2 linked regions of the Anolis sagrei genome follow. The protein of the gene in region 1 binds, or shares a complex with, the protein of each later gene. Links are inferred from orthologs where the notes say so. Each region holds a gene or a part of one and is shown on either strand. Other genes may lie near its edges.

The links.
Region 2: the proteins of IFFO1 (region 1) and XRCC4 are in contact, whole or in part, in a crystal structure (PDB 6ABO), measured with the Homo sapiens proteins. The link is inferred for Anolis sagrei from reciprocal best matches to the Homo sapiens genes IFFO1 and XRCC4. Residues at the interface, in NP_001317253.1 of Homo sapiens: Arg469, Glu470, Tyr473, Ile477, Gln479, Ile480, Glu481, Glu483, Leu484, Ala487, Lys488, Asp490, Met491, Arg493, His494, Leu495, Tyr498, Met501, Lys505, Leu508, Asp509, Met512, Cys515, Arg516, Leu518, Ile519, Thr520, Gln521; in NP_001304941.1 of Homo sapiens: Trp155, Val158, Gln159, Phe162, Glu163, Cys165, Val166, Lys169, Glu170, Glu173, Leu176, Tyr177, Phe180, Val183, Leu184, Lys187, Lys188, Lys190, Ile191, Leu194, His195, Lys197, Leu198, Ala201, Ala202, Arg205, Glu212.

What each region holds. Positions count from the first base shown.
Region 1 is NC_090022.1:197,315,946-197,330,907, reverse strand, and holds the start of IFFO1 (non-homologous end joining factor IFFO1), read left to right. Parts: upstream 1-9,141; 5' UTR 9,142-9,192; coding exon 9,193-9,983; intron 9,984-14,962. UniProt on the Homo sapiens protein: Nuclear matrix protein involved in the immobilization of broken DNA ends and the suppression of chromosome translocation during DNA double-strand breaks (DSBs).
Region 2 is NC_090022.1:260,347,141-260,363,007, forward strand, and holds the start of XRCC4 (DNA repair protein XRCC4), read right to left. Parts: upstream 5,736-15,867; 5' UTR 5,649-5,735; intron 1-5,648. Other genes in the region: TMEM167A (protein kish-A), read left to right, coding at 5,896-5,898, 9,849-9,958, 10,671-10,705, 14,320-14,390.

The sequences.
Region 1 (14,962 bases):
CTGTGAGAGCCATTCAGAAGTGGAACTCTCTGCCCCGGAGTGTGGTGGAGACTCCTTCTTTGGAAGCTTTTAAACAGAGGCTGGATGGGCATCTGTCAGGGGTGATTTGAATGCAATATTCCTGCTTCTTGGCAGGGGGTTGGACTGGATGGCCCATGAGGTCTCTTCCAACTCTTTGATTCTATGATTCTATAAGTGTCAGCACTGCGTCCAGGAGGACCCCCTGACTGAGGACCTGTGTCCTTGGAGTATAACCCTGTTGAGCACAGGTTGCCACCCTATACCCCAATCTATCAATTAGTCTTGATAGTATCTCAACCCATCAGACATAGCTTTCCTTTAAGTTGCTTTAATCGTGTTGAGGTAAAGTATTGACAGCTCTAGCAGTGATGAAGAATGCTGAGATTTGTAGTCCACCAACATCTGAAAGGTCACACAACAAAGATTAGTCCTCATTTAAATTCACTAGATATTTGAGTGGCACCTACTTGAAGCCCAGGGCCCTTACCTGATTTGGAGCGCTTCATATCTCCTGCTCTGTAGTATTTTACTTTAAAAATACTAAACCTGAAATGTTACCCTTGGTGGAGGACATGAGTACATGAGTCTGCCATGGAAAGGCAGACTATTTTAAAGTCCAGGATAATTTTTTTAAATAGGGAAGTAAATCAAAAGCGCTTTTTGATTCTTTTAAAAAACCCAAACAATATGTGTGGTAGAGACTACCACAAAGAGCCTTAGGGCACCCCCTGTGGCCTGTAGGTTATTTTTTCAGCCCTGGAAAAATTGTGTTGAAGTCTTCAGTAGAGGGGAAAGAGAGTAAGAATTAATTGCATAAATAGCTTAATGCAAGAGCTGGCGCTTTCTAAAGTGCTGTGACAAGGCTGAAATCTGAGACACTTAGTTCTTAGTTTCAAAATGGAGCCATTGCTAAATTATGTATTATAAATGCTAGCATCTTATGATGTGATAATGTTTTGTCATTGAAAGGAAGACTTCTGCAAGGCACTATTGCTTTTAAACCTTTGTAGTCACACCAGTCTTATGATGAGCCTCTGCTGGGAGCCAGAGGGAAGGGATATTTGCATTCCTTCCTTGGAGATAATATTTATTAGATATGCTACCTCTGAATGTGGAGGTGCTTATATATCCTTTATTCTTCTAAGAGCAAGCTTGGATGAGGTGCTAACAGGACTGGAGCTATCTGTTGCATTCTAGGCCTGGAAACACCTATGACCACCACACCACACAGTCAAGAAATATAAGCAAAGAAGTTTATTGAAAAATAATATAAAAATCAGAAATAAAAAATGAAGATATATAATCCAAAAAGGTTAGCAACAGGTGATAACCAGACAATAATCCAAATGTCTCATAAAGTTCCAGAGGTGACAAAGTCAAGGAACAGCCAGAAATCACAGATATGGCATAAGTCCAAAATCCATAAGCTATAACTTGTAAAACATGAACAGGAGTACATGAACAGGAACATAGAAAACTTCCAGGATATATTAAATCCAAAATCAAAGCTTGACTTGAACCAGGAACAAGAGAACTCGGGCTTAGCTTCTCACTCTAATGCAGTATTGTCTGAGCTGACTGTAAGGTGAACAACTTGTCTAATAAGCACCCATTAAATCATTCTGTTTCCCATTAATGTCCTTCACAACTGTCCCGTGTAACCTGTCTAAATGACACAATCTATTTTCAGCTCTGATTTGTAAAAGAAGACTTTTGTTGATCTCCATAACTACAGGTGGGTTCTCATGGGAACTTTCCTTATAACTCGGCTCTTCATTCAATTCCTTATCTGCTGTTGCTACTTCTGGCTCCCCTGAATGCCCTTGAGGCCCTGTACCTTCCAAGCCAGTTTTTCACAGAACCATCATTTCCCAGACTTGAATTTCCCAGACTTTAGAGCCCATCACCTTGTGCCAAAGGAAAGCTCACAATCCTCTAAATCATCAGTTTTTTTCCTTTAATTGTTCTATTTATTTATACATCCATTCAATTAACAAACTTTTGCCATACAAGTCTTATCTTGATATATATTATTCCAAAAGTCACTTTACCTTCTATGACATTTTATACATTTCTTAGATGTGTATCTCCCATACCCTCCCTCCTGGAACAGCAATTCAAAATGCTGTCATTTCATCAGATTAACTGTGTGGAAAGCCTAGTTCAAGGTGCTATATCTTTCGTCTAAAATTTAGACTCTAAATCATCAACTGAAACCATCAGCCTCTGGTTGATCTACAACAGGGGGATCCTGAGTTGTGAGGGATTTTTCCCTTTGCACAAACCCACAAAACTCAGGCAAGCAGAGGGAGGACTGCTGATTCTCCTGCAAGAGCCACAATGCCAAATGTCATTTCGAAACTACATGCATAGATTTGCTTCAGGTCTTTAGAGTCCTGGAAGAGGCTACATCTGGTTGCAGGCATGAAGCCCCCCTGCCCCCCCCGAAATTCTCATGGTGGTCCGCGAGAAGGCCTTACTGGTACATTATTTAAACTGTTATGTTTATTCATATCATGATTTGATCACTATGCTCAATATGTCCCATATGCATGGGGTATTGGGGTAACGATACAAAAGGTTTGCTAGGGTAGACTCGCTTTTCAGACTCAGCACCCCCCCAAATCAAACTCAGCCCCCCCCCCCCCCCCCCAAATCAAAATCCTGGCTACGGGCCTGTCTGGTTGGATCCCTGATCTGAAAGCCTCCTGTTAGGATGCAAGTGTAGTGGTATGTAGATCCTGTTTTCCATGGTTTGCCTGGCTCCCTTTGGATTAAGCTTCAAAGAAGTGGTTTATGGCAGGGGTCCCCAAACTAAGGCCCCTGCAAAGTCATTTACCTGTTCCTCACCCTAAACTTTAGACTAAGGGTTGCCCTAAGTCTGAAACGACTTGAAGGCACACAACAACAGCAATCCTAATTAACTTGACTATTTCATCAGCCAAAAGCAGGCCCACACTTCTCATTTAAATACTGGTTGGTTTAAATGGTTCTTCATTTGAAATATTGTATTGTTCTTTCATGGGTTTTATCCCCTAGAAAAAAGATATGTGCAATGTGCATAGTTCATGTTATTTTCAAACTATTCTGCTCTGCAAAAGTGAGGGACTATGAATCAGCCTTCAGCTTAAAAAGTTTGAGGACCCCTGGGTAAGAGACTTAATTCTGTCTGGTGTTCAGAGTGAACTGTCTTTATGATATCGGCTTGTACTCTCTTTTTCTTTTATTTTTTCTTTATTTGGAGAAGCAGTCATCTGGATTTTAGTGCTTTGGAGTTTTCTATTAGAGTTGAAAAGTGGAATATGATCTATTTTATAAAAATAATGTCTCCTGATTGCCCTAGTGCAACCTCATTTTAAAAGCTGCTAATGCTATTGGCATTAGGGCATATTCTGGCATCATCCACTCAGGGAAGAAGCTGTCTGTATCTGTTGAATCTCTTATCAATTTCTTTAATGGATAAATTCTAGTTTTATGAAAAGAAGGAACATTCTAATTTTCTTCACATTATGAATTTGTAGTTTATTTGTTCAGTCACATCCGACTCTTTGTGACCTCATGGACCAGCCCACGCCAGAGCTCCCTGTTGGCCGTCACCACCCCCAGCTCCTTCAGAGTCAAGCCAGTCACTTCAAGGATATCATCCATCCATCTTGCCCTTGGTCGGCCCCTCTTCTTTTTTCCTTCCATTTTCCTCAGCATCATTGTCTTCTCCAAGTTTTCCTGTCTTCTCATTATGTGACCAAAATACTTCATCTTTGCATCTAATACCCTTCCCTCCAGTGAACAGTCGGGCTTTATTTCCTGGAGAATGGACTGGTTTGATATTCTCACAGTCCAAGGCACTCTCAGAATTTCTGTGATTTTTTTTAATTCAGCCATGGAAACCTTATGGGAGTCACACTCTCTCAGCCCCAGAATATCCAGCAATAGGGTTGGTTGCCTTGGGATTACCGTAAGACTGACTGACTTGATTTCAGGTTCTCCGGCATTCAAACCGTTGCTTCAAAGAAGTGTCTTATTCTCTGTCAAACAGTGCTTTATTTGTTAAGAAGCAGATCAGCCTCCTCGTTGCATCCTATGTCAGAACTATGTGATCTATACAGAATAAACCTAATAGAAGACCTTAGAAATTGTATGATAGGTTCAGCAATCGTACCATTAGCCCTTTGGTTCTAATGTGAGAAGGTTCAATCTCCCAGTCTCATCTAATAAAGTAAAGGTAAAGATTTCCCCTTGACATTAAGTCTAGTCTAGTTGTGTCCGACTCTGAGAGGTGATGCTCATCTCCATTTCTAAGCCAAAGAGCCAGCATTGTCCGTAGACACCTCCAAGATCACGTGGTCAGCATGACTGCATGGAGTACAGTTACCTTCCCACAGAAGCAGGAAGGTAACTCACATTTGCATGTTTTTGAACTGTTCTCACAGTTGCATGTTTTTGAACTGTTAGGTTGGCAGAAGCTAGGGCTAGCAGCAGGAGCTCACCCTGCTCCCCAGATTCATACTGCCAACCTTTCAGTCACCATGTTCAGCAGTTCAACAGTTTAACCCAATGCACCACCCAGGGGGCCCAGTCTCATCTGACCTAATCATAACCTAATCATCTAACCTAATCAACAGATTTTTCTTGCTTCTTACATTAATCTTTGATAGTCCTGGCCAAATGGTCTAGTACGAACCTTGTATGTTTTCATATAGTATACTAGCCATCCCCTGCCAAGCATTGCTGTGGCCCAGTCTGTATATATGTGTTTTGTGTGTGTGTGTGTATTTGTGTATATGCGTATATATGTGGTTTTGTGTATGCGTTGCAATGTATTTTTTGGTTTTTGGCTTTTAAAGTCTCTTCTGTGTTTTTCAATGTTTTTATAAGTGATGGTCACTTGTTGGCCTGATAGGTGTCTTGTGTCCAAATTTCATGTCAATTCATCCAGTGGTTTCTGAGTTATGTTAATCCCACAAATGAACATTACATTTTAATTTATATAGATATGCAGCAGTTGTGTATGCCCCATGTTGATGTTTATGGCCTGACTAGAAATAAGTCATGACACTTGAAGGCACACAACAGCAAAGCCCAGATCTTGTATTATCCCCATCTGTGATGGGTTGAGATGATAATTTAATAATATATGGTCTTCCAAGTTAGCCTTACCATATTGTGAGGTTTTACTTACATTCCTTTCCTGTCCTAAATCCCTACCGGCAGATTTTCATGTTTTCCACAGCTGTTACATAACACTGGGCAGCTGCCACTATAGCTATGTCAGTGTTGTATGTGGGCCAACGTTTTAATACATAAAGTCTTTTTATATGGAGAAAGTTACTTGGAGCAGCTCTTGTGTTCCAGGTTTCCACACGTTGGCGAGATTTCTGTGGGAGATCCGCAATTCCCTTATAGCTTGCCCACTCTGCAAGTACCTTCTGCCTCCTGTCCACATTAATTTAATAGGGTTTTCTTAAGCAATGAATATTCAGAGGTGGTTTTGCTTCTACGCTGGGATTTATGAGTTATTCCCATCCAAGTACTAGCCAGAGCAGGCCCTGCTTGGCTTCCAAGATCAGCCAGAATGATTTATGTTCAAATCCAACCGTTTTTTAAAGGTGATCTTTTGGCAGGGGTGTTGTGTGGTTTCTGGGCTGTGTGGCCACGTTCTAGTGGAATTTTCTCCCAACATTCTGCCTGGCATCTGTGCCTGGCATCTTCAGAGGATCTTGATGTGGTCTGGGATTTGTTTTATTATATCAGAAGCGACTTGAGAAAACTGTAAGTTGTTTCTGGTGTGAGAAAATTGGTCGCCTGCAGAGACGTTGCCCAAGGGATGCCCGGATGTGCTACCATCCTGTGGGAGGCTTCTCTCGTGCATGGGAAGCTGGCAATTCAGCTGGCACAAGGGTTTAACCCACGGCTCCCTGGACCGGGGCTGAGTTGCTATCTATATATATAAAAATGCTCTGTGCATAATGAGTACCTTAAAAACAAAAGAACCAATGAACGAAATCACACCAAATTTGGCAACAAAATGTCTTACAACACAAGGAGTAACCATCACTCAAAAAATTATGATTTTGTCATTTGGGAGTTATAGTTGCTGGGATTTATAGTTCACCTACAATCAAAGAGCATTCTGAACTCCATCAACGATGGAAGTGAACCAAACTTGGCACACAGGACTCCCATGACCAACAGAAAATACTGGAAGGGTTTGATGGGCATTGAACTTGAGTTTGGGAGTTGTAGTTCACCTACATCCAGAGAGCACTGTGGACTCAAAAAATGATGGATCTGGACCAAACTTGGCACAAGCACTCAATATGCCTAAATATGAACACAGATGGAGTTTGGGGGAAATAGACCTTGACATTTGGTAGTTGTAGTCACTGGGATTCACAGTTCACCTACAATCAAAGAGCATTCTGAACCCCACAAACGACAGAATCGGGGCAAACTTCCCACACAGAACCCCCATGACCAACAGAAAATACTTAAGGCCACCCAATCCAACTCCCTTCATCAGGGCAAGAAAACGTAATCAAAGTCCTCCTGACAAAGAGCCATCCAGCCATAGATAGATAGATAGATAGATAGATAGATAGATATGATTCACACACACATGAAATGCCACCCCCAATATGCATTATATATGAAGAATTACAAAAACCAAACACCCATCCTTCCACATTCGAATCACTTCTATGGTGCCATATAAAATCCAGATTATTTGCTTTGAACTGGATTATATGGCAGTGTAGGCTCATCTAATCCAGTTCAAAGCAGATCATGTGGATTATCTACTTTGATAATAATATGGATTATATGGCCATAGCGACAGCTATGATGGAAGGAAGAGAAAGAAGAGATGAAAGCAATGCAGTAGTGGACCCAGGGTAGAAAGGACCTCAATTGCTCCCCCTCCCACAACACACCCGAGAGGCTAGCTGAGCCTGGGAGTTTTGGCATCAGTTACATTTTTAGGTTCCTCTGTGCAGGAGCTTGCCAAGACACGTTAGTATATTTTCTGCTTCTGAGCTGCTGGAAGAAGGTCATTCAAATGGACACCTAAAGAACATTTGAATCTCCCTCAAAGGACATTGTGTGAGTCAATGCTCACATGACTGTATATATGGAGCCCCTGGTGGTGCAGTGGGTTAAACGGCTGAGCTGCTCTACTTGCTAACCGAAAGTTTGCAGGTTCTAATCTGGGGAGTGGTGTGAGCTCCTGCTGTCATCCCCAGCTTCTGCCAACCTAGCAGTTTGAAAACATGCAAATGTGAGTAGATCAATAGGCACCAGTCCAGCAGGAAGGTAACGGCGCTCAATGCAGTCATGCCGGCCACATGACCTTGGAGGTGTCTATGGACAATGCTGGCTCTTTGGCTTAGAAATGGAAATGAACACCAATCCCCAGAGTAGGACAAGACTAGACTTAATGTCAGGGGAAAGCCTTTACCTTTTATTTATTTATTTACTGTATTTGTATACCGCCTTTCTCAGTCCATAGGCGACTCAAGGTGGTTATCAGGGAAAAATTCAATTCTTGCAATGTCATAAATACAATTAAAAACATAACAAATAATAAAAACCAAAAAAATCAGTAAAATATAAATTCATAGTGTATCCTCGTTAAAAAACGAAGTCATTTACAAATGCTTGTTCATAAGCCATGCCTTGACTTTTTTCCGGAATGTTAAAAGGGGGGTGGCCGATCTAATATCTATAGGGAGGGCATTCCATAGCCGAGGGGCCACCACCGAGAAGGCCCTGTCTCTTGTTTCCGCCAAATGTACTTGTGACGAAGGCGGTAACGAGAGCAGGGCCTCCACAGACAATCTTAAGGTCATAAGGGGAGGTGTGTTTGGACATGTAAGTTGGACCGAACCCATGTAGGCCTTTGCAGGCTAAAGCCAGCACTTTGAATTGTGCCCAGTGGTAAACTGGCAGCTAGTGGAGCTGGCACAGCAGAGGAGTTGTACGCTCCCTGACTGCTGTTCGTTGGACCATTTGAAGCTTCTGAACAGTCTTCAAAGGCAACCCCATGTAGAGTGCATTGCAGTAGTCTATATGGGATGTAACAAGAGCATGGACTACCATGGCCAAGTCAAACTTGCCTGTCGCTCTGCATAATAAAGCGTAAACACCTTGGTTTTACTGATCACCTGTGTGACCTATCTTTTCTCTAGCAAGACAATGTGTGGATTGATAAAGGTGCGAACTACGCCTTTGGACCGCCAGAAGATCCAACCAGTCCATACTTCAGAAAATAAAGCCCGACTGCTCATTGGAGGGAAGGATAGTAGAGACAAAGATGAAGTATTTTGGCCGTATTATGACAAGAAAGGAAAGCTTAGAGAAGACAATGATGCTGGGGAAAATAGAAGGAAAAAGGAAGAGGCAAGTTGGATGGATGGCATCCTTGAAGTGACTAGATTGATCTTGAAGGAGCTAGGGGTGGTGACGGCCGACAGGGAGCTCTGGCGTGGGCTGTTCGATGAGGCCACGAAGAGTTGGAAACGACTGAACGAATGAACAGCAATGCATGATTTTCATTCTGTCACAGACTCATTGAATCCAGCTCAAAGAAGATAATAGATTGTCTGCTTTGATAATGTGGAATTTTTTTTTGTAGTGTCAGGAGTGACTGCAAGTCGCTCCTGGTGTGAGAGAATTGTCCGTCTGCAAGGACGTTGCCCAGGGGACGCCTGGTTGATTTGATGTTTTTATCATCCTTGTGGGAGGCTTCTCTCATGTCCCCGCATGAGGAGCTGGATCTGATAGAGGGAGCTCATCCGCCTCTCCCCGGATTCGAACCTGCGACCTGCCGGTCTTCAGTCCTGCCGGCACAGGGGTTTAACCCACTGCGCCACCGGGGGCTCCGATATTGTGGATTATACGGCCATATTGACAGCTAGGAAGAAAGGAAGAGCAAGAAGGGATGTAAGCAATGCAGTCGTGGACCCAATGGGGAACCTCAGTTGCTCCCACCCAGCCCCGTGCGCACGCGCACTCCGCAGCCGCACCGCTCGCCCGCCCGCTCGCCCCCTTTTCCCCGGGATGCCCCGCCCCTTTGGAGGCAGCTGGCTCCGGATTGGGCGCCCCCGCGTCCTGGCCACGCCCCCTGGGCTCCCCATCCCGCCCGGCGCCGCAGTCCCCCCGCCGGGCGCCGCAGCCATGAACCCGTTATTCGGGCCCAACCTCTTCTTCCTGCCGCAGGCGGAGCAGGACTCTCCTTTCGGGCTCTTCCCGGGCGGAGGGAGAAGGGGCGAGGAAGAGGACGAGGAGGAAGAGTGGGGCCCGGCCTTCGGGGAGCCTTTCTCCTCCACCACCACCACCTCCTCCTCTTCCGCCATGGCGCTCCGCAACGACCTGGGCTCCAACATCAACGTGCTCAAGACCCTCAACCTGCGCTTCCGATGCTTCCTGGCCAAAGTGCACGAGCTGGAGCGCCGCAACCGGCAGCTGGAGAAGCAGCTCCAACAGGCCCTCGAAGGGGGAGGCAACGGAGGAGGGGGAGGAGGAGGGGGCAGCGCGCGGCGCTCCAGCATCTCCCGGCGCGACCAAGGCGTCCAGACGGGCTTCGTGGGGCCCATCCGCCCGCTGGGGCTGCCCTTGGCGGGAAGCATCGCCCCGCGGGTGCTGGGCTCCCCCAGTCCCAACCCCGCGCGGAGCTTGGCCTCCCCCGGCTGCCACCCGGGAGCCCCCTTGGCGCCCAGCAGCCTCGCCTCGCCTTCCTCCTCCTCCTCCTCCGCCTCGACGCGCTTCCTGCCGGGCACCATCTGGTCCTTCTCGCAGCCGCGGCGCCTGGGGCCCGGGCCGGAGACCACGCTGGTGCAAGGGCCCGGCGTCTCCTGGCTCCACCCGGACGGCGTCGGCGTCCAGATCGACACCATCACCCCCGAAATCCGCGCCCTCTACAACGTCCTGGCCAAAGTCAAGCGCGAGCGCGACGAGTACAAGCGACGGTGAGAACGGAAGAGAGGGATTGGAAGGGGTGGCATCCGGGGCACAGGAAGGGAGCTAGGCTCAGGCCTGGGCAGGCTTGGTGTTTTGGACTGCAGCTCCCATCATTCCTCACAGCCTCAGGTGCTCAGCCGGTTAAGAATGTTAGAATGTTGAGGCTGGCCAATCAGAACCCATATGCAAATTAATAGGTGGAGATCGCTCATGCACGGGCCAACTTGGGTCCTCACGGTGTTTTGGACGTCAACTCCCACCATTCCTAAGAGCCTCAGGCCCTTAGAGACTTAAGAATGTTAGAGGCTGGCCAATCAGAACCCATATGCAAATTAGTAGGTGGAGATCGCTCATGCACGGGCCAACTTGGGCCCTACAGGTGTTTTGGAACTCCAACTCCCACCATTCTTAACATCTTCATCCCCTCAGCCACTTAAGAATGTTAGAATGTTGAGGCTGGCCAATCAGAACCCATATGCAAATTAGTATGTGGAGATCGCTCATGCATGGGCGAACTTGGGCCCTCCAGGTGTTTTGGACATCAACTCCCACCATTCCTAAGGGCCTCAGGCCCTCAGCCACTTAAGAATGTTAGAGGCTGGCCAATCAGAACCCATATGCAAATTAGTAGGCGGGGATAGCTCATGCATGGGCCAACTTGGGCCCTCCAGGTGTTTTGGACCTCAACTCCCACCATTCCTAACAGCCTCGGGCCCTTTCCTTTTCCCTTTCATCTGCTTAAGCTTAAGGTCATTTTGAAATGTCAAAAGGGGGGCCAAAAGGGAAAACTTTTTGAAAGATCTGGCCTGAGAAAAAGAAATGGGCATCTTTAACAACTGGATCACTCTAACAACCACCATGTTGGACTATACAGAAAAGACATTTAAATCCACAAGCATCACTGTGCTGCTGTGAGTTTTCTGGGCTGCATGGCCATTTTCCAGAAGTATTCTCTCCTAACGTTTCGCCCACATCTATGGCAGGCATCCTCAGAGGTTGTGAGGTCTGTTGAAAACTAGGCCAGTGAGATTTATATATCCCTATAATGTCCATGCAGCTGTGGACAAGTCTACATAGGGACTACCAAACACAGCATTGCCCAAACACAAATCAAAGAACATGAAAGGCACTGCAGACTATTTCATCCAGAGAAGTCAGCTATAGCAGAGCTCCTGATGACCCAACCTGGACACAGCATATTATTTGAGAACACAGAAATGCTGGACCACTCTCACAACCACCATGTCAGACTGCACACAGAAGCTACTGAAATCCACAAGCATGTAGACAATTTCAATTGAAAGGAGGGAATCATGAAAATCAACAAAATCTGGCTACTAGTATTGAAAAACTCTAAAATCAGGACAGTGAATAAAGTGCAACACTAAAAAAAACCCCAAAACAAAACAAAAAAAACAGAGGAATTCCAGACAAGAAACAATCAGGGCTAGATAACACCTCTCAACAAAGGATCCCCCAGGCAGTTACCAGCCAGGCTTTGAAGCTGCAAGGCCATTAAACACTAATCAAGGTGGCCAGTTGCAACATTCACACTTGCCTCAAGCAGTTCTTTCTCTCACCCTGGACATTCCACAGATATATAAACCTCATGTGCCTAGTTTCTAACAGACCTCACAACCTCTGAGGATGCCTTCCATAGATATGGGTGAAATATCAAGAGATAATGCTTCTGGAACATGGCCATAGAGCCCGGAAAACTCACAACAATCCAGAAAGGGGCAAATTCAGCCTAAACTCAGGGCTTCTGACTGGAGAGCTTCCCTTCTCAGAAGGGAAAGGGGCACTGCATTTCTTGAATCAGAACCTGTCCAAATATCACAAACCTGGCTTCATGGGTCTGGGAACAGGGTTGCAGAGAAGTATTGCCTCTCTCTCCCTCTCTCTTTGTGTCTCTTAAGAGTGAGAAGGAGAGAGACAACATTGGTTAGACCACATCTGGAATACTGTGTCCAATTCTGGGCACCACAATTCAAGAGAGATATTGACAAGCTGGAATGTGTCCAGAGGAGGGCAACTAAAATGATCAAGGGTCTGGAGAACAAGCCCTATGAGGAGCGGCTTAGGGAACTGGGCATGTTTAGCCTGAAGAAGAGGAGGCTGAGAGGAGATATGATATCCATGTATAAATATGTGAGAGGAAGCCACAGGGAGGAGGGAGCAAGCTTGTTTTCTGCTTCCTTGGAGACTAGGACGCGGAACAATGGCTTCAAACTACAAGAGAGGAGATTCCATCTGAACATTAGGAAGAACTTCCTGACTGTGAGAGCCGTTCAGCAGTGGAACTCTCTGCCCCGGAGTGTGGTGGAGGCTCCTTCTTTGGAAGCTTTTAAGCAGAGGCTGGATGGCCATTTGTCAGGGGTGATTTGAATGCAATATTCCTGCTTCTTGGCAGGGGGTTGGACTGGATGGCCCATGAGGTCTCTTCCAACTCTTTGATTCTATGATTCTATGATTCTATGAAAGAAGTCTGCCACTACCTAAGAGTCCGTTTTCCCTGTGGCTTTTGAGTTTTTTCCTAATTTCCCATAATTTAGTGTTCAAGTAGCCTATATACCAGGGGTCCTCAAACTAAGGCCCGGGGGCTGGATGCAGCCCTCCAAGGTCATTTACCTGGCCCTGCTCAGAGTCAACCTAATTCTGAAACGACTTGAAAGCACACAATAATGACAACATTCTTATCTCATCATCCAAAAGCAGGCTCACATTTCCCACTGAAATACTAACAAGTTTATATTTGTTAAAATTGTTCTTCATTTTAATTATTGTATTGTTTTTAGGTGGGGGTTTGTTTGTTTTTTTGCACTACAAATAAGATATGTGCAGTGTGCATAGGAATTCATTCATGTTTTTTTTTTTCAAATTATAATCTGGCCCTCCCAACAGTTTGAGGGACTGTGACCTGGCCCTCTGTTTAAAAAGTGTGAGGACCCCGGCCATATACCCTTCATTGTCCAGGAGTCTTTGGGACTGCCCCCTCCTTTCATCCCTTCTTTCTCTGTTCCTCCCCTCATGCCTTTCCCCCCTTTCCTTTGGCTTTCTTTCTCTCCTTTTTCTTTCCTCCCCCTCCTTTTTTTCTTTTCTTCTTTCTTTCTTTCCTTCCTTCCCCCCTCCCTGTCTCTTTTCTCCTGTAGCTTACATCACAATGCCTCTGTGGTGACATGACTTTCTGTGTAACTCTTTCCTTCCTCCCTCCCTTCTCCTCATACATAAGTCACCTTTCCTTCCCAGTAACATCACAAAGGGCCACTTCCTCTGGCAACAGCCTTTATGAACGTTAGGAAGAACTTCCTGACTGTGAGAGCCGTTCAGCAGTGGAACTCTCTGCCCCGGAGTGTGGTGGAGGCTCCTTTTTTGGAAGCTTTTAAACAGAGGCTGGGTGGCTATCTTTTGGGGGTGCTTTGAGTTCAATTTTCCTGCTTCTTGGCAGGGGGTTGGACTGGATGGCCCATGAGGTCTCCTCCAGCTCTATGATTCTATGGTTAAGACATCCAGTAGAGACATACTTTGACATTTCATATATAGAGATGTATTTTGAGACCCCAAGCATGGCATCCACGTTGCCACCCGTTTGCCTCCTTTCTTCTTTGCCGTATTGGGCGAGTCCCATGTCACATCTCTGAGGCTGACTCAGCTGACTCAAAGGGGAGGAGGTCCAGAAACCCAAGCCCTTTAAAGATCTGCATAGGCACAGTGTTTGCGGCGGCAACATATTATTTTTGAAGTGCTGTTGCCGCACATTGCTCCCTGCAGACAAAAATGGTTTTAGTCTACATAAGCAAAAGCGTACATTTCTCGACCGGAGAAATTAGAATCATAAAGTTGGGAGAGACCTTGTGGGCCATCCAGTCCAACCCCCTGCCAAGAAGCAGGAAAATTGCATTCAAAGTATCTCCAACAGATGGTCAGGGGTGACAACCTACATTTAGATTGACAGCCTTCTTTTAGACAGGTTGTTGGGACCTGTCTAAGTGTAGGGTGCGAACCAATGCAGTCGGAAAGATCTTTCATGTACTGTTTCTCTAGAAATCACAACCTCAGCATCTCCTTTTGGTGAAAAAAGAGAGAGCAATGCAGTATAAAAGCTGCACTTTAGCCAAGATGCTCACTTCCAAATCTACCCAGCTACTAGGATGACCTCAGGGGCCTTTGGCTAGCTCTACACTGCCACGTAATGCAGTTTGAATTGCATTATATGGTGAATTTAGAGCCATATGATGATGCTTAAACTGCACTATATGGCAGTGTTGATCCAGCTCCAATCAGCCCATCTTCAGAAATAACCAGAGACAAAGGCCTTCTCTGTTGCAGCATCTCAGCTATGGAGAAGGCTTGCGAGCCTGATTTCCTTCCTGCCACCTTCCTAGGAATCTTCTGGTTGTGCAATGGGTTAAACCGTTGTGTCGGCAGGACTGATGACTGACAGGTCGGAGGTTTAAATCCGGGGAGAGTGCGGATGAGCTCTCTCTGTCAGCTCCAGCTCCCCATACAGGGACATGAGAGAAACCCCTCACAAGGATGGTAAAACAGCAAAACATCCAGGCGTCCCCTGAGCAACATCCTTGCAGACGGGCAATTCTCTCACACCATTATTGACTTGCAGTTTCTCAAGTCACTGCTAATTCAAAAAAACCTTCCTATCTTAAAGTTCTTCAGGCATTAACAATGAATTTTAAAAAGATCAATTGGTTTTATAGTGTGGCAAATTTTTCTTTTTTTTCATTCTTTGTTAATGTCTGAAGAGCTTAAAAACTGACCTTGAAAGTTCGTTAGACAAGTGGACTTTCTTTTGGTCCCATCACTGTCATAGACTCCTTGATGGGGACACAAGACAGAGCCTTCTCAATACCCTTGTGCATCCCCTTGAATTTCACCCGGCTGTCTAGTGTTATTATTTTTCAGGTTCATGATTGGTGACAAAGTATGATGGATGCTCTGACAGCGAAAAAGGCTTTGAAACAAAATACAA
Region 2 (15,867 bases), about 63 Mb from region 1:
GTCTCAGAGGATGTCTAAATTTCATATTTTCAGATCATTTGGTTTTTTACCCCTCCAATAGAGGAAATACAATTTTTCATTTTTGAGATTAGATAATGGACCTGAAAGAATACTTTTACACACATTTATGATCATTACAGAACATTTTTCCCTGAAGGAAGAGGCAATAAATCTCAATTCTCTGGTGTGTTTCATAGCAAAAAAAAAAAAATGGATCTACTGAAGACAACTTAAGCCAACACTTCTCTAGGATTCATAATTAGTTTCCTGCCACCTGTATTCCTCTGTGTTTTGGATGGGATTTAATTTGGCCTTTATCCTCACAACTGTACAGGATTCCTGGATCATTTTAACTAGCTGTCATTAAACATTCAAGCTGGCTTCTGTTTGCAAACTTGATTTGATTATAACTCTTGCAATATGAAGGAAATGGAATGAAAACAGAAGTAAAGCAGGGATTAATACACTAATCTCAGGTCTATCATCTTCATGCATCTCATGAGTTCTAAATGATTGCAACTAAGAAAGTTATTGTTCTTAGAAAAGGAAAGTGATCATTTAACAAAAGAAACATACAGTTGAGAAGTAACATACCAAATCAATAACTTAATTTGCAAAAATTGCAAAATAAAACACTTGCTTTATTTATACCCCATCTTTTCCCTTAAGAATAAGAATTCCTTCATATTCAGCCACAACTATCATGAAACATTATAAAACATAATGGACATTGGGATATTGCCAAAAATCACAGTATGTCTGAAAAGTTCTTCAACCACTGTAAGAAAACATGAATACCCAACACCTTACCATACATATCAGGATCAAATTTCATTTTAGCTACGTCAGTGGATAACTATATTCAGAGTAACTCCTTCTCATATAACTAACATATGCACCAATTTTCTGATTTGGCAGAAACAGTCAAGATCAATCCTTTCTTTCCTTTTTCAGCTGCTTTGAAAATGGATAGATTTCTCTCCCCTTTTTCCTCTCTTCCCTTGTCCTCAGATTATTGATTTCAAAGTACAAAAACAGTTTAAAGTTGGTTCTCCACACTGTAGATTTCACTTTTATGAATTTGACTATCTGTAGATTTAATTAGTATATTCCCTTTTGAAAGGGCTCCTTCTACACTGCAATATAAAATCCAGATTATCTGCTTTGAACAGGATTATAGGGCAATGTAGTCTCAGATAACCCAGTTAAAAGCAGATAATGTGGATGATCTGCTTTGATAATCTGGATTACATGGTAGTGTAGAAGGGGCCTAGATCCTCCAGTGCAACTTTATGGTCAATGTCTAGCTGATGTTTATAAAAATGCACTGGAGGACTGAGAGATTCCTAGAGAAAGGATTAGGCATTTAGAGGTCCTCCACAATGACTCTATTGGAATTTGATCTTAAGATCACAGTGGAGGACCTAAAGGATCTGATCCCAGGTTGTCTGCTTTGAACTGGATTATGAGTCTATACTGGCAGATAATCGGAGATAATCTGATAATCTGGGAACATATCCTTGGATATGTTGGCAGTGTAGAGCCAGCTCTAGAGAGGTGTTCTCTTGGAAGGGTGTGTATGTGTGTGTGTTTGTATTTGCGGTTTCCCCCTTTCATTGGGGGGAAGTGGAGGCTAAATCCTGCTTTTCCCAATAGGCTCAGGGAAAAGCAAACTTCTATAGCCTCTTCTAGCTTGTTTATTCTTCCTCATTAATACCATAACATTTGCCATCTTGACCATACTGTGATGTTGCTTGACTACATCCAGTTTCCATTTGTGATCTATTGGATGATATGAATTACCTCTTAGATTACTGATGGACACTATCTAAAAATTGCTAGAATACGAGCAGGACTTCAATATATTAAGCCAATAAGGAAAATAAACAGACAGAAGTAGTCCACAAAGGATGCCCTTTCAGATACCTATCATTTTATTTCTGTGCTGTGCTCAGGGGAAATAGGTTTCAGTTTGGTAGAAGCAAGAATATCTTCCTTAAACTGATAGCAAAAGCAGATATTTACCATATGTTGGTCTGGATGGGGAAAAACACAAATCTCCTGTTCACAAATTCCTTCAGGATGAGCAACTAAACAATCAACAGGCTGCAATAAGCCATCAAAGCATATATGAAGACTTGCTAAAATCAGAGAGTTACTTCTGGAAAAGTTCTGCGGTGTTTAACGTGATTTGATTAATTTATGTGAACACTGAGAAGGAGAGAAATTTTCCCAATAAACCAGAAGCCCAAGTTTAGTGGTCTAAGATTAATCTGGATGAGCAAAATGATGCTGAATGTTTTTACTATTGCATGCTGTTGATGACTGCTATTTCTTTTGGGGCAGAACTAGCAAATCCTATGGACATGTAATGTGAAAACCGTGTAGCAAATACTTAGGTCTACCAACAGAGTATCGAAAAGCTTTTCTGGAATAAAACAGCACGATTAACTTACTGGGCAGTGGGAACGATTTTAAATACTGTTATGTTTAATTCTGTTTCAATGTTCACATATTTGTATATTTTAAATTATGTGGTCATACTTTTAATGTAAGCTACTTTAAGTCTCCTTCAGGAGAGATAAAGCGGTGTGTAAATAATAATAATAATGGATGAAACTATGGATTGGGATGTCTAACTCGGAAACCTGGAATACTCCAAAATTGCCCACATGGGTTGCTAAGATAGTATTGCCTTGCTTTCTGATAATCACACAAACTTTACTTTGTGCACAAAATTGATTAAAATATTGCATTAAATTACTGTGAGGCAATGTCGCCGAGGTGTATCTGAAACAAAAATGAATTTCGTGTTTACTTGGGTCCCATCTCCCAAAATACCTTATTAGGCACATATATACAAATGCAGGTGTGTTGAAATCCAAAACACTTCTGGTCCCATGCATTTCAGTTGCCATAAATGAATGAGAATTGTCAGGAGCACTTTAATGCGTGGACCACTGCAAAACAAAACTATGGCATGACCTATAGCATTTTATTTCTTTGGCCCTCAAAGAGAATAAGGGTGTATCTTGTAGAATTAATTTAGTTTGACACCAAACTACAAATCCTAGAAATGTATAGCTGTGAGCCATAGCATTGTTTCTGCTGGGTTGATGAGCCTTAGAACAACTCCCGGAATATGTATGGCCTCTGACTGAGAGTCTGGGGCAGGCATAGGCAAACTTGGGGCCCTCCAGGTGTTTTGGACTTCAACTCCCTCAATTCCTAACAGCCTCAAGCCCCTTCCTTTTAGCTTAAGCGGCTGAGGGGGGAAAGGAAAGGGCCAGAGGCTGTTAGGAATTGTGGGAGCTGAAGTCCAAAACACCTGGAGGGCCCAAGTTTAACATGCCTGGTCTAGGGGAACATTTGTGGGTCCCCAGATGTTTTGGCCTTCTACTCCCAGAAATCCTAACAGTTGGAAAACTGGCAGGGATTTCTGAGAGTTGTAGGCCAAAACACCTGGGGACCCACAGGTTGAGAACCACTGCTCTAGAGAAGCTTGCCCAGATCACTGGGGAGTGTTTACAGCTGCCGAAGGCTCATCTTCAGTGACTGAGAGAGGCAGGACGAGCTGCTGGAAGCTGCTACCCCCCACCCCAAACTCCTCTGCCGGCATCTGGAGATGTTTTGAGAACCAGTGGTCTAGTGGTACATCTACATTGATGGGTTAATGCAGTTTATTTATTTATTGACAACATTTATGTGCCACCCTTCCCATCCCGAAGGGGACTCAGTGCGGCTTACAAGATATATATACATACAATATATTATCTTCTTAGCATAGTACAATATCAGTATTAAATATTACTATATTGCACTATACAATTATTTTGTAATATTAGTAATATTACATGCAATATAAATATATATCCCTGCTTTTTTTTTTTTGTCGTGTCAGGAGCAACTTCAGAAACTGCAAGTTGCTTCTGGTGTGAGAGAATTGGCCGTCTGCAAGGACGTTGCCCAGGGGACGCTGGATGATTTGATGTTTTTATCATCCTTCTGGGAGGCTTCTCTCATGTCCCCGCATGAGGAGCTGGAGCTGATAGAGGGAGCTCATCCGCCTCTCCCCGGATTCGAACCTGTGACTGTCGGTCTTCAGTCCTGCCGGCACAGGGGTTTAACCCACTGCGCCACCGGGAGCTCCTTATATCCCTGCTGAGTCATGACTGCTATTTAAGGAGCCCCCGGTGGCACAGTGGGTTAAAGCACTGAGCTGCTGAACTTATTGACCGAAAGGTCGCAGGTTCGATTCCGGCGAGCGGTGTGAGCTTCCGCTGTCAGTTCTAGCTTCTGCCAACCTAGCAGTTCAAAAACATGCAAATGTGAGTAGGGCAATAGGTACCGCTCCGGCAGGAAGGTAACGGCGCTCCATGCAGTCATGCCGGCCACATGACCTTGGAGGTGGCTATGGACATCGCCGGCTCTTCGGCTTAGAAATGGAGATGAGCACCACATCCAAGTCAGACATGACTGGACTTAATGTCAGGGGAAAACCTTTATCTTTATTATAAATATATAATTATAATATCATATTATTAGTTATTATATTATTAGCATAACGCAGGAAACAAGGTGGAACTGTCTTCTGCCCCCCTCTCTCTTTACTCTAGCCCAGAGTGGCAGTTGGTGCTGGGGAGAGGAATCCCCAACTGATGACATATGCAGGAGACAAGTTTATTTATTTATTTACTTTATTTATACCCCGCTAACATCTCCCGAAGGACTCAGTGCGGCTTACAAGAGGCCCAACACATCAATAAAACAACAGCATAACAAATACAACAATAAATAAACTCATAAAGCAAAGCAATAAACATTAAAACAATAACAATAAGCATTAGACAGTAACACCACAAGGCATTTAAAAACTGAGGCCGGGCCAAATGTAATGAATAAAATTTTAAAAATGCTGGACATGACAGGTGAAATGGATAGGTTTTCTAGTAAAGTGCATTTGGGACATGATGCTAGGAGTTTTCCATTCTGGGAAGGCACACTGGAACAGCGACATCTTCAAGCTCTTCCTAAAGACTGCCAATGTTGGGGCTTGTCTGATGTCCTTGGGGAGAGAGTTCCAGAGTCGGGGGGCCACCACAGAGAATGCCCTGTCCCTCGTCCCCACCAAACGTGCTTGTGACGCAGGTGGGATTGTGAGCAGGGCCTCTCCAGATGACCGGAGAGATCATGTGGGTTCGTATACGGAGATGCGGTCACGCAAGTTTGAGACTATGTTAACTGCCATGAATTAATGCCATGGAATCCTGGGATTTGTAGTTTGGTGGGGCACCATCACTCTTTGGCAAAGAAGGCTTTGTAAAACCACAACTTCCTGGATTCCATAACACTGAGCCCTGGCAGCTAAAGTGGTGCCAAACTACATTAAATATAGTGTAGATACACCCTAGGAGTTGGCAATCCAAGAAAGTAACTTTCCCAATCTCAAAACAGGCGATAAGAGAAATGAGGGCATAGCTTTGAAAAGCCTCGCTCAGCCTTGGAACGAAAACAAGTGCATTTTCAAATAATTTTCCTCCTCCTTGACAAGAAACCCCTTGCCTTTTAGTCTTCCCTTCATTAGCATGGCGAGAGGGATATAGGACCCCCACTACCTAACAAACACACACAACTTCCCCCTCTCCTACCTCACACTGGACTGAAAGTTCCACTTCCGGCTTCTCCTCCCGCCTCCGTTCCGTTGCCCCCAGGAGCAGCCCCGCCTACATTCTGAATCTCCTCCAATCAGAGCGCCGGTAACCGTCTTCGCTGGCGCCAATCGCGGGCCGCCGTTTCCTTTGACCAATCAGCAGCCTAGGCGGACCGCTCCCGCGTCTTCCGTGCCCCGCCCCTTGGCTGCCGGATGTCTGATGTGGCTCGCGGCGGCGCGTAACCATGGTAAGCAAAGGGCCAAAGAGAGGAACACGGGAGGGAAGGGCAGGGGGCGTCTGTGGTTTTGGTTTTGTAGGTACGGCTTCTCGCTTTCTGAGGCGGCTTCCGAGGCCTGGCGTCAGAGAAGGGTTGGGCTCCGCGCTGGAAGGAAGGAAGGAGCCCTTGGGTTCTCTCATGAACCTTCTTGCTTTCCCCAAAAGGGGCCTACACTGTAGAACAGGCCTGGGCAAACTTGGGCCCTCCCTCCAGGTGTTTTGGACTTCAACTCCCACCATTCCTAACAGCCTCAGGCCCCTTCCTTTTCCCTCTCAGCCGCTTAAGCGGTTGAGAGGGAAAAGAAAAGGGCCTGAGGCTCTTAGGAATGGTGGGAGTTGAAGTCCAAAACACCTGGAGGGAGGGCCCAAGTTTGCCCAGGCCTACTGTAGAATGAATTCAGTTTGACACCACTTTAACTCCCATGGCTCAATGCTATGGAATCCTTGGGGTTGTAGCTCTCCAAGGCCTTTGGCTTTACATGGTGACTCTATACAACAGCTGCCAGGATTCAATAGCCATCAGTGGTGTCAAACTGCATTCATTCTACAGCAGGGATCCTCAAACTAAGGCCCGGGGGCCGGATATGGCCCTCCAAGGTGATTTGCCCAGCCCTTGCTTATAGAATCATAGAATCAAAGAGTTGGAAGAGACCTCATGGGCCATCCAGTCCAACCCCCTGCCAAGAAGCAGGAATATTGCATTCAAATCACCCCTGACAGATGGCCATCCAGCCTCTGCTTAAAAGCTTCCAAAGAAGGAGCCTCCACCACACTCCGGGGCAGAGAGTTCCACTGCTGAACGGCTCTCATAGTCAGGAAGTTCTTCCTCATGTTCAGATGGAATCTCCTTTCTTGTAGTTTGAAGCCATTGTTTCGCGTCCTAGTCTCCAAGGAAGCAGAAAACAAGCTTGCTCCCTCCTTCCTGTGGCTTCCTTTCACATATTTATACATGGGTCAACCTAAGTCTGAAACGACTTGAAAGCACACAACAAAAACAACAATCCTATCTCATCAGCCAAAAGCAGGCCCACACTCCCATTGAAATACTAATAAGTTTATATTTATTAAAATTGTTCATTTTAATTATTGTGCTGTTTTAAAGTGTTTTTTGCACTACAAATAAGATATGTGCAGTGTGCATATATTTCATTCATATATTTTTTTTTCAAATTATAATCCGGCCCTCCAACAGTTTGAGGGACTGTGACCTGGCCCTCTGTTTAAAAAGTTTGAGGACCCCTTTTCTACTGTGTAGAAGATGCAGCCAGAGAGTCATCTGGAGTTTCCTTCTCTGCTTTCCCATGCCTACATTGAAGTATGTGTTGTGCAAATTGAACTCCATAAAAGAAAAGCAGCACAACAAGGGAGGGGCAAAGAACAAACACAGCTTGTTACATTTTCAGTCTAGTAAGGTACCAAAAAACAAGTACTGCCTGAAAAAGTTCTGGCTTGGCATCCCTTATCTGGAATCCTGATATACCGCCAAACCCAAAATTGTTCATGGGAATGGAATGGCATGGTAACACCTTTATTTATGTTTTTAACAGTTTTAATGTATGTATTTTATAATTTTGTTTTAAATGTTTATTGTGATTTTTACATTGTTTCAAGGGCATCGAATAGTTGCCTATGTTGTCAAGCTGCCTTGAGTATCTTCAGATTTGAGAAAGGCGGGGTAGAAATATCGTAAAGAAGTAAATAAATACTTACATTTTCTGGTGCTTTAATTTACACAAACCTTGCTCCATGCACAAGTTATTTCTAAAATATGGTGTATAAAATTACTTCTGGGTGATGTTGAAAGGTGCACGTGAAAAATAAACAAATGTGTTTACACTTGTATCCCCTCTCCAGGATATCTCATGTTGTTGGTTGCCTTTGAGTTGTTTTAGACTTGTGGTGGACCTATCACAGGGGTTTCTTGGGAAGATTTGTTAAGAAATGGGCTTCTCTTATCTTTCCTCTAATGGCCCTTCCACACAGGCCTCTATCCCAGAATATCAAGGCAGAAAATCCCACATTATCTGCTTTGAACTGGGTTATCTGAGTCCACATTCAGATAATGTGGGATTTTCTACCTTGATATTCTGGAATATAGGGCTATATGGAAGGGCCCTTAAACATAGGGCCCTTGCACCCAGCCATATAACCCATATTTTCAAGGCAGAATAACCTACAATATCTGCTTTGAACTGGAATATCTGAGTCCACAGTGCCATATATCCCAGTTCAAAGCAGATAATGTGGGATTTTATTCAGCTGTGTGGAAGGGACCTTAGTGAATGCAAATTGTCAAAAGTCCCCCAGGAAGTTTACAGAGCGGAGTGTAGATTTGAACTCTAACCTGCAGGCATTTAATCCTGTGCTCAAAGCACTACACCACTCGTACTCTTACTTCATTAGATACATACAGTGGTTCCTTGGTGTTCACTGTAGTTTGGTCTCCAAGTCCCATTATATACAGCGACATAGTAAAATGGTGCCTTTTATATAAAATGACAAAATCAAGGTTTGCTTTTTGGATTTTTTAAACTTCAAACCATTGATGGTTGAATCCGAGATGTTAAAGTCTAACCGTATTCACTCACTTCTAGAATCCAGTGGCCATACAGGCTGGGAAATTCTGGAGTCTTACTATTAGAGGTTGACCATCTCTTATCTAAACATCCAGAATGCACCACAATCCAAAATTATTCACATGGGTGACTAAGATAGTGATACCTTTATTTCATTCACAAAATTATTAAAATATTTTGTATAATATTAACTTCAAGGTGTGTGTATAAAGTATACACCAAATATACATAAATGCATTTTGTATTTCAACTTGGGTTCCATCTCCAAAATATCTCATTGTATATGTATTTACAAATACAGGCACGTGTTAAGTATCTGAAATGTTTGGGACCAGAAGTGTTCAGTACTTCAAATTTTGGGATATTTGCATGTACATAATGGAGATAAATTTGATTCAAGTCTAAAAACAAACCTCATTCAGAAGGCTGTGGTACGGATAGATTTGTAAATGTTTAATTTTGAATCGAAGACCTTCTGCATGGAAAGCACATTCTCTACCTTGAGGCTATTAAGGGAAGAGTGGTTGAGGTCATCATAAGCAGACCTATTCTGTCCAATATACAGCACAATGAGTAACTGAAATTTGTTTCTGTGGGGGAAAAAATAGGCCACTGAATTTAGGATAGTCATCAAAAGTGTTGGTAGGAAATCTACCTTCCTCCTTTTATGTCAGTTTGCCTTTCGCTGTAAGAGTATACCCAAAGGAGAGTGACATGTGTCAAGGAGATTCACTAAATCTAAAGTCTTCCTGAACCCATGAGATTTCTACCTGGAAAAGTGTCATTAATTTTTATCATAAAAAGTGTGCTGCTGGTTGTGTGACATAATCTAATCAATAACTCCCAGTGGCACAATGAGTTAAAACCTTGTGCTGGCAGGACTGCAGATTGAAATGTCAGTGGTTCGAATCCAGAAAGCAGGGTGAGCTCCCATCTGTCAGCTCCAGCTTCTCATGCAGGGACATGAGGGAAGCCACCCACAGGATGGTAAAACATCCAGGCGTCCCCTGGACAACGCCCTTGCAGACAAGCAATTCTCTCACATCAGAAGCGACTTGCAGTTTCTCAAGTCGCTGCTGACATGAAAAAAAATTAATAGTTTCAGAATAAATATATATATATATATATATATAATGTGTGTGTGTGTGTATCAAGTTTTAGGTTTGTTTGTGGTTATAGAGTGCTAATGAGAGCAGCTTTATTGGAAACCATAAATGATGCACTGGAATGGTCCCTGATTTTATAGACCTCAAAGACTCAGTAGTGATTCTAAAATTATAAAATAATAAGTAATAAAGGCTGGATGATGACTCCTATTTTGTATTGCTTTTTTTTTCTCTTTTAGTCTGCGATCTTCAACTTTCAGAGTCTACTGACAGTAATCTTGCTACTTATATGTACCTGTGCCTATATAAGATCCTTGGCTCCCAAATTATTGGATAACAACCAGACTGGGTATGTGAATGTCTTGAAATGCAGGGGAAAGAGAAATAGATGTACTTGCTTGTTTATTATTCCCATATCTGCATGTGTCCCATGCAGATATGGGAATTGTACTGTATTTGATCCAGAGTCTTTGGTAGAAATCAAATCCAATCTACTCAGGGTGGTGGGAGAATTGGTTTTAGATAAAAGTCTTCCAAATAAATTGCATGGCATGGAGGACTTAGAATCCATTCTTGATATCATGAGTGATGTTTGTCAAATAAGATTTTTTTAAAAATTCCACAAGGTCCTGAGTCACAGGATTTTAGCCAGTGTTCATATTTTTTAGTTAAGATATTTCAGCCCTCCCTGAATTCAAAGATCTCGGGGTGATGTGCAATACATTTTCACCGTTTAAAATTATCTTAAAGAAGAGTGATGTAAATATACTAAAACATATTAAACTATCCTACAAGATTGTTTAAAAATGGTTGAAGTTACTTAAATGGTTTGAGGTATCTTAAAAGTTCGTACATATGCAGATTTGGATTGATTTAGTTAAACTTCAAAAGCTTTAAGTTATGTTTTTACTTGGCACTGGAAAGACACCAATGCTAGTGCCAGTTGGGCCCCTTAAGAGTAGACTCTCCCATTGCAAGGATGCCACAGCAGAGAAAGCCCCCTGTAAATTGCATTTAGTTTTGACTACATTTTTTTCTAATTCCTCTTAATATCCTTTCAGATTATTGGGAATATTCTGGAAGTGTGCCAGAATTGGTAAGTATGTGTGTTCATTATTTAATGTCTGGACAAAATGTACTGTTAATAGGTGTTCACAGATGAAAGGTTCTCCATCCATTCCATCTGCCACTCCTGTGGCCTCAGAAGGAGAGAAGAGGAGGCAGTATCTGCTGGACTTAATTCTCTTCCACACTGCCATCACTTTTCCTTTTGTGTCATGTCTTAATTAGATTGTAAACCTGAGGTTAGGACAGCATTATTTGGTTTTTACTTGTTAAGCAGCATCACATACCTCAATGTGCCAAATAAACATCTTATGATGATGATGATGATGTCTGTGTAACTTGAATCTTATCAATACATGCCTTTTAAAATTATTGGATAACAACCAGACTGGGTGCCGTGTTCCCACCAAACATGCTCAAGCATGTTTGATGGGAACACTGGAGATGGTCGTTTCAGTGGCTGCTCCTCAACTCCTTCGCAAGAGAGACCAGGATGGCCCCATCCCTGCTGGCCTTCTGCAAGCAGGTCAAGACCTTGCTCTACCAACAGGCATTAGGAGAAGGATAAGGGGCACATTGCTGGGGAGATTGTGGGAGGGGTTTTTGAGGGGACTGTGTGTTTTAAAATACTTTTAAACTGTATTTTAACCTAACACACACAGTGCTGTTTAATTGTTTTCAGTTTTTGTATTTGATTTTAAAAAAATTGATTAAAGTTTGTATCTGTTGGCTATCTTGAGCCCTCTTGAGGAAAAAGGCAGGGTATAAATAAAACTACTAATGATAATGTTGACATTTCCAAATATTTGGTGTTATGGAACTCTTTTCTGTCACGTTGCTTTGATCAGTTTTCCTAATCTGTGGTTACTAGTATGAGAAAAACTGTGCTACACTGATTCATGTTTACCAAAACTCCATCAGTACATTTCTCTAGATAGAAATCCTAAAATATACCTACCTGAATGTAAGTTCTAACGATGCTGTACTGACTTTAAATGATTGTTTGAATGATTGTTTGATCTCAGATCAGTATATAATTAGAACAATCTGAACAATTGAAAAGAATTCCAGATTAAAACCATAAAATAATTTAGATTGAATGAAAGTGTAATAAATCAGTCAATACGCTGAAACATGTTAAAACCATTTATATATACTTTTAAAAGTAACTTATGGCTTATAAAAAGGCCTAAATAACATTACAAAGAAACCAATGTTGTTATTTGGACCTCCATGAATCTATTTCTACATACAATTGGTCCACTGTATCATGGATTCCACAACCCAAAGCTTGGAAATTGTTTTTAAAAAAAATCCAAAAAAGTAAACCTTGATGTTGCCATTTTATATAAGGGGCATTCAATTATATGTAATGGGTTGAGTATCCATGGATTCTGATATCCACAGACCACTCTGTAACCAAACCCCAGCAATACTGGGGTGTTCACAAAACACTTTCTAGGCATTTCAGCATTGATAGAAAAGATTGGGAAGAAGGTAAACACGCCATACATCTAGAAAGTGCCCTGACTCCAGTAAGAGAGTGTAGTTTCAGTGAAGTGAACTACAAAATCAATATTACTGGACCAATAACACTTTGATCTAGCACTATACTCTTGAAAAATTTGACAGTGAGTGAAACATAAATACAACCTTCTCCCTCCATTAATGAGTATGAATTGCTCATCTAATACTTTCAATAAATATCCAGTGACAGTCTCTAAAGTGGTAAAATGTCACCGAAGAGTGTATTTGATAAATATTGTAGGGAATAAGTGGTGGGTAAATTCATTTGGTAACATTTAAAACTTTATATGGTAATTAATCAATTGAAGAAAGGTTCTAATACCTTCACTATGTAATAAAAATAAATAAAAATTGCTAAACTTTTGAAGCGGCGATGTGTTCAAGTGATTATACATGCCAGTATTCTTTCAAGCGAATCTGGTTGCCCAACCCTGACTAAGAAATCTTTCCACAGCAAGAAACAGTTCACTGACTTTTCCCATAAGAGAGGCCACCACAATTACATTACAAGACATTGTCATCATCTGGCATACATTTAATTAAACTGCAAATAGCTGTGTGAATTAATGTCTGCAATTCTACATCTGCTTAGAATTAATGTTGAGGAAGTATACCTCCTACAGTTTTACAGTTTTCATATGTGCACTGCTTTTTTGCTTAATTTTCTTGAAAGAGGCATCCATCATCATTCAGATTAAATGTCTGTTTGCACTACCTAACAAATAGGCAACAGCTTATCTGTGTAAAAGGTGCCGACGTACAAAAAGAGAGCTAAATTCTACAGTGATGATTTGTGTTTGTTTTATAGAAAAAGAAGCTGTGCCAAGTAGTTAGAGACAGTGAAATTCAGACAATTAACTAATTAGTAACTTGTTATAATCATGGTAAAGCCATGCAAAATTACCCTAGATTTCAGCCAAAGTAAACAAGGGTTTTTTGACAAGTGATTACTTTTCGTTTTGATTATTAGGAACCCAATAACCTTCATTTCAGAGATTAATAAAATGAAATATTCTGGATGTAGATGTTTAATCTTTCTACTTTGGCCATCTTCTGGATTAAAATGTTTCCTTTTTTTCAAAGACAGGAGGATAATAATCTTTCTTTTTTTCTGTTCAACAGAGTGAAAAGCAGGATAATTTAGACTACTAGAAAACCAAACGAAGTAAATGCAAATTCCTGAGATCGAGTATTATATCTATGGCCCCATCTACTGCCATATAATCAAGTTTCTGAATGCTGATTAACTGCTTTAAACTGGATTGTATGGCAGTGTAGACTGTTATAATCCAGTTTAAATCAGAATTCAGAAACTGGATTATATTGGTCAGTATAGATGGGGCCTTAATCACATTTAGTTTGATCATGTGCCAACTGTCTTCAGCATACGGGTGGCACCCTAACCCAGATCTTGTTTATGTCCTTCCCCAGCAGCTTCATAGAGATTTTAAAGAGTTGGGAGGATGGGGGACAAGATGGAAGTACTCCATAGCTTCAATGGTCAATGGGACTCAACAGTATTTCCTATGTTAGTCAACAGAACCTTTAGAAATATGCATTGTGTAAATTTGAGCATCCCTTGTTCAGAAATCTGTAGACACCTCCAAGGTCATGTGGCCAGTACGACTGCATGGAGCACATGAAATCCCTTATCCATAAGGGTGGCTGGGAGACATATTCTCTTACCGCAGATGATGGAGTCCATTGATGCAGAATCTGGATACGGAGGGCCGACTTTAGAAATAGACATTTTGCTCCTTTTATGATGTTTTATGAATACTAAAGGGGAAGAAAATTGCCTGAACCTGTCCGCTGTCATTCTCATTTTCTCTTACTAATTTTATTGCTTTTTATTACTGTACTTTTGTCATTTTCCATCAAGTTGTCTTCAACTGATGATAACCCTATGAGCAACTCCCAAAATATATAGTCATCCACTGTCCTGATCAGGACTTACAAAGTCAGGGCTGTGACTTTCTTGATTGAATCAATTCACCTGTTGTAACATCTTCCTCTTTATGCTGTTTGACTTCTTACCAAAGCATGAAACATAAAAGATCCCAGAGTTGCTTGTGCATGAGAGCTATCGAACATATTTTGTTTTGTTTTTTCTTCTAGGGGAACGAAAGAGCCCTTATGTTGCTGTGTGCTGTATTGCAATGGCCTTCAGTATTCTGTTTGTCCAGTAAGCTGAAACACATCAGGAATATATTGCTGTGAAACTGCCATGTAATAAAAGACTTCGGGAAGCAGAAAAGAAGAAAATACTTCCTCACATCCATTGCTCTGTCTCATAGTCAAGCCAAACTTTTGATAATTTGTTTCAATATTTTTAGTGAGAGAGTGGTGATTCATTAAGTTATGAAAACACACCAATTGACACTGCTAAATTTTGGATTGTGCCTGCCTAATGGGAAGTGTATTCTGAATTTCCATTGAGAAATGTTAAGATGTACAACTAAAGTCATAATTAATATTTCTCTGAGAACTGAATTTGATGTTTGAACCCATGCTCTTTTTTAAACCTCTTATTTCAAATGATTGACCATTTTTTATTTTTGAAAAACTAACATGAAAAAATAAAACCTTAAAATATAGATGGAGACAGACAGAATGAAAATTACATCGCTCTGAACAGATTTATCTTATGGTTAAATATGAGTAATGATGGTCTGAGAAACAGGAAAAGTCAGAAAGCATACAGGCAGAGTCAGTTCTCAGGTTTTCTGCTGAGACTTATTAGACACTTTCTAATGAATAAAGCTATATTTTACAGATGGAGAATCTCTTAAGTTTATCAATTCAAGAAAGAAAAAATATTCTGCATTATGATTTCATCAAGTAAACACTTATTGTGTTAAAGTCAATACTTATCAAAGTGTTTGATTTAATTTGAACCTGAATTTTAATAAACAATTTACATAGCAGTTCTTTGTATTGATGATTTTGTGTACACAATTAAGATCGGGAACCTGGATGAATGCTTGAGACATGCATTCCTTCACCTATTAGGATATGGAGTAAAAATTCCACATTGAAATCTGCCTTTCCTAAATTCTTCATCTAGCCTTTAGCTGTCTGCCTCTATAGCACAAAAAGCAAAACCCTTTTTAAAAAACCCTATTATTTCCGTTCTGTTAATTCAATTTAATGATATATTGTGATCATTATTTTGCCTGGTTAGATACCAGCATATTAATAATAGTCTTTGTAGGACTTTAAAGCTTAATTAAAAAGAAAAACAACTTATGATTCCCAAATATACTGTTTACTTCTTAAGATTGTGTTGTATTTTTCAGAATTAATCTGTATAAGAATGAGACAATTTAGAATTAAAGAATATGGTTTAACAAATGTTGAACGCTGAATTGGAAAGCTGTCCAATTTGGCACGTATTTTGGAGAATGTTGAGCAGACAATAATTTTCACACAGTTAAAATGGAAATTTATTCATGGAAGTGAAGGAGATGTCAGCAGCCAGTGGATACATATTCTTTGCAAGCAGCGTGGCATGGCATAATTTTGGATGCTGCTTTCTCAGAACAAGATTGCAAAGAAGCTACAATATGCACATCACAATTTGTGGTGCGCAAATCCTTAAAAGCCTAACCACAAGGGAAGCCGAGAATTCTGTGTGTACATCCTTTCATTTCATCACCAGTAAAA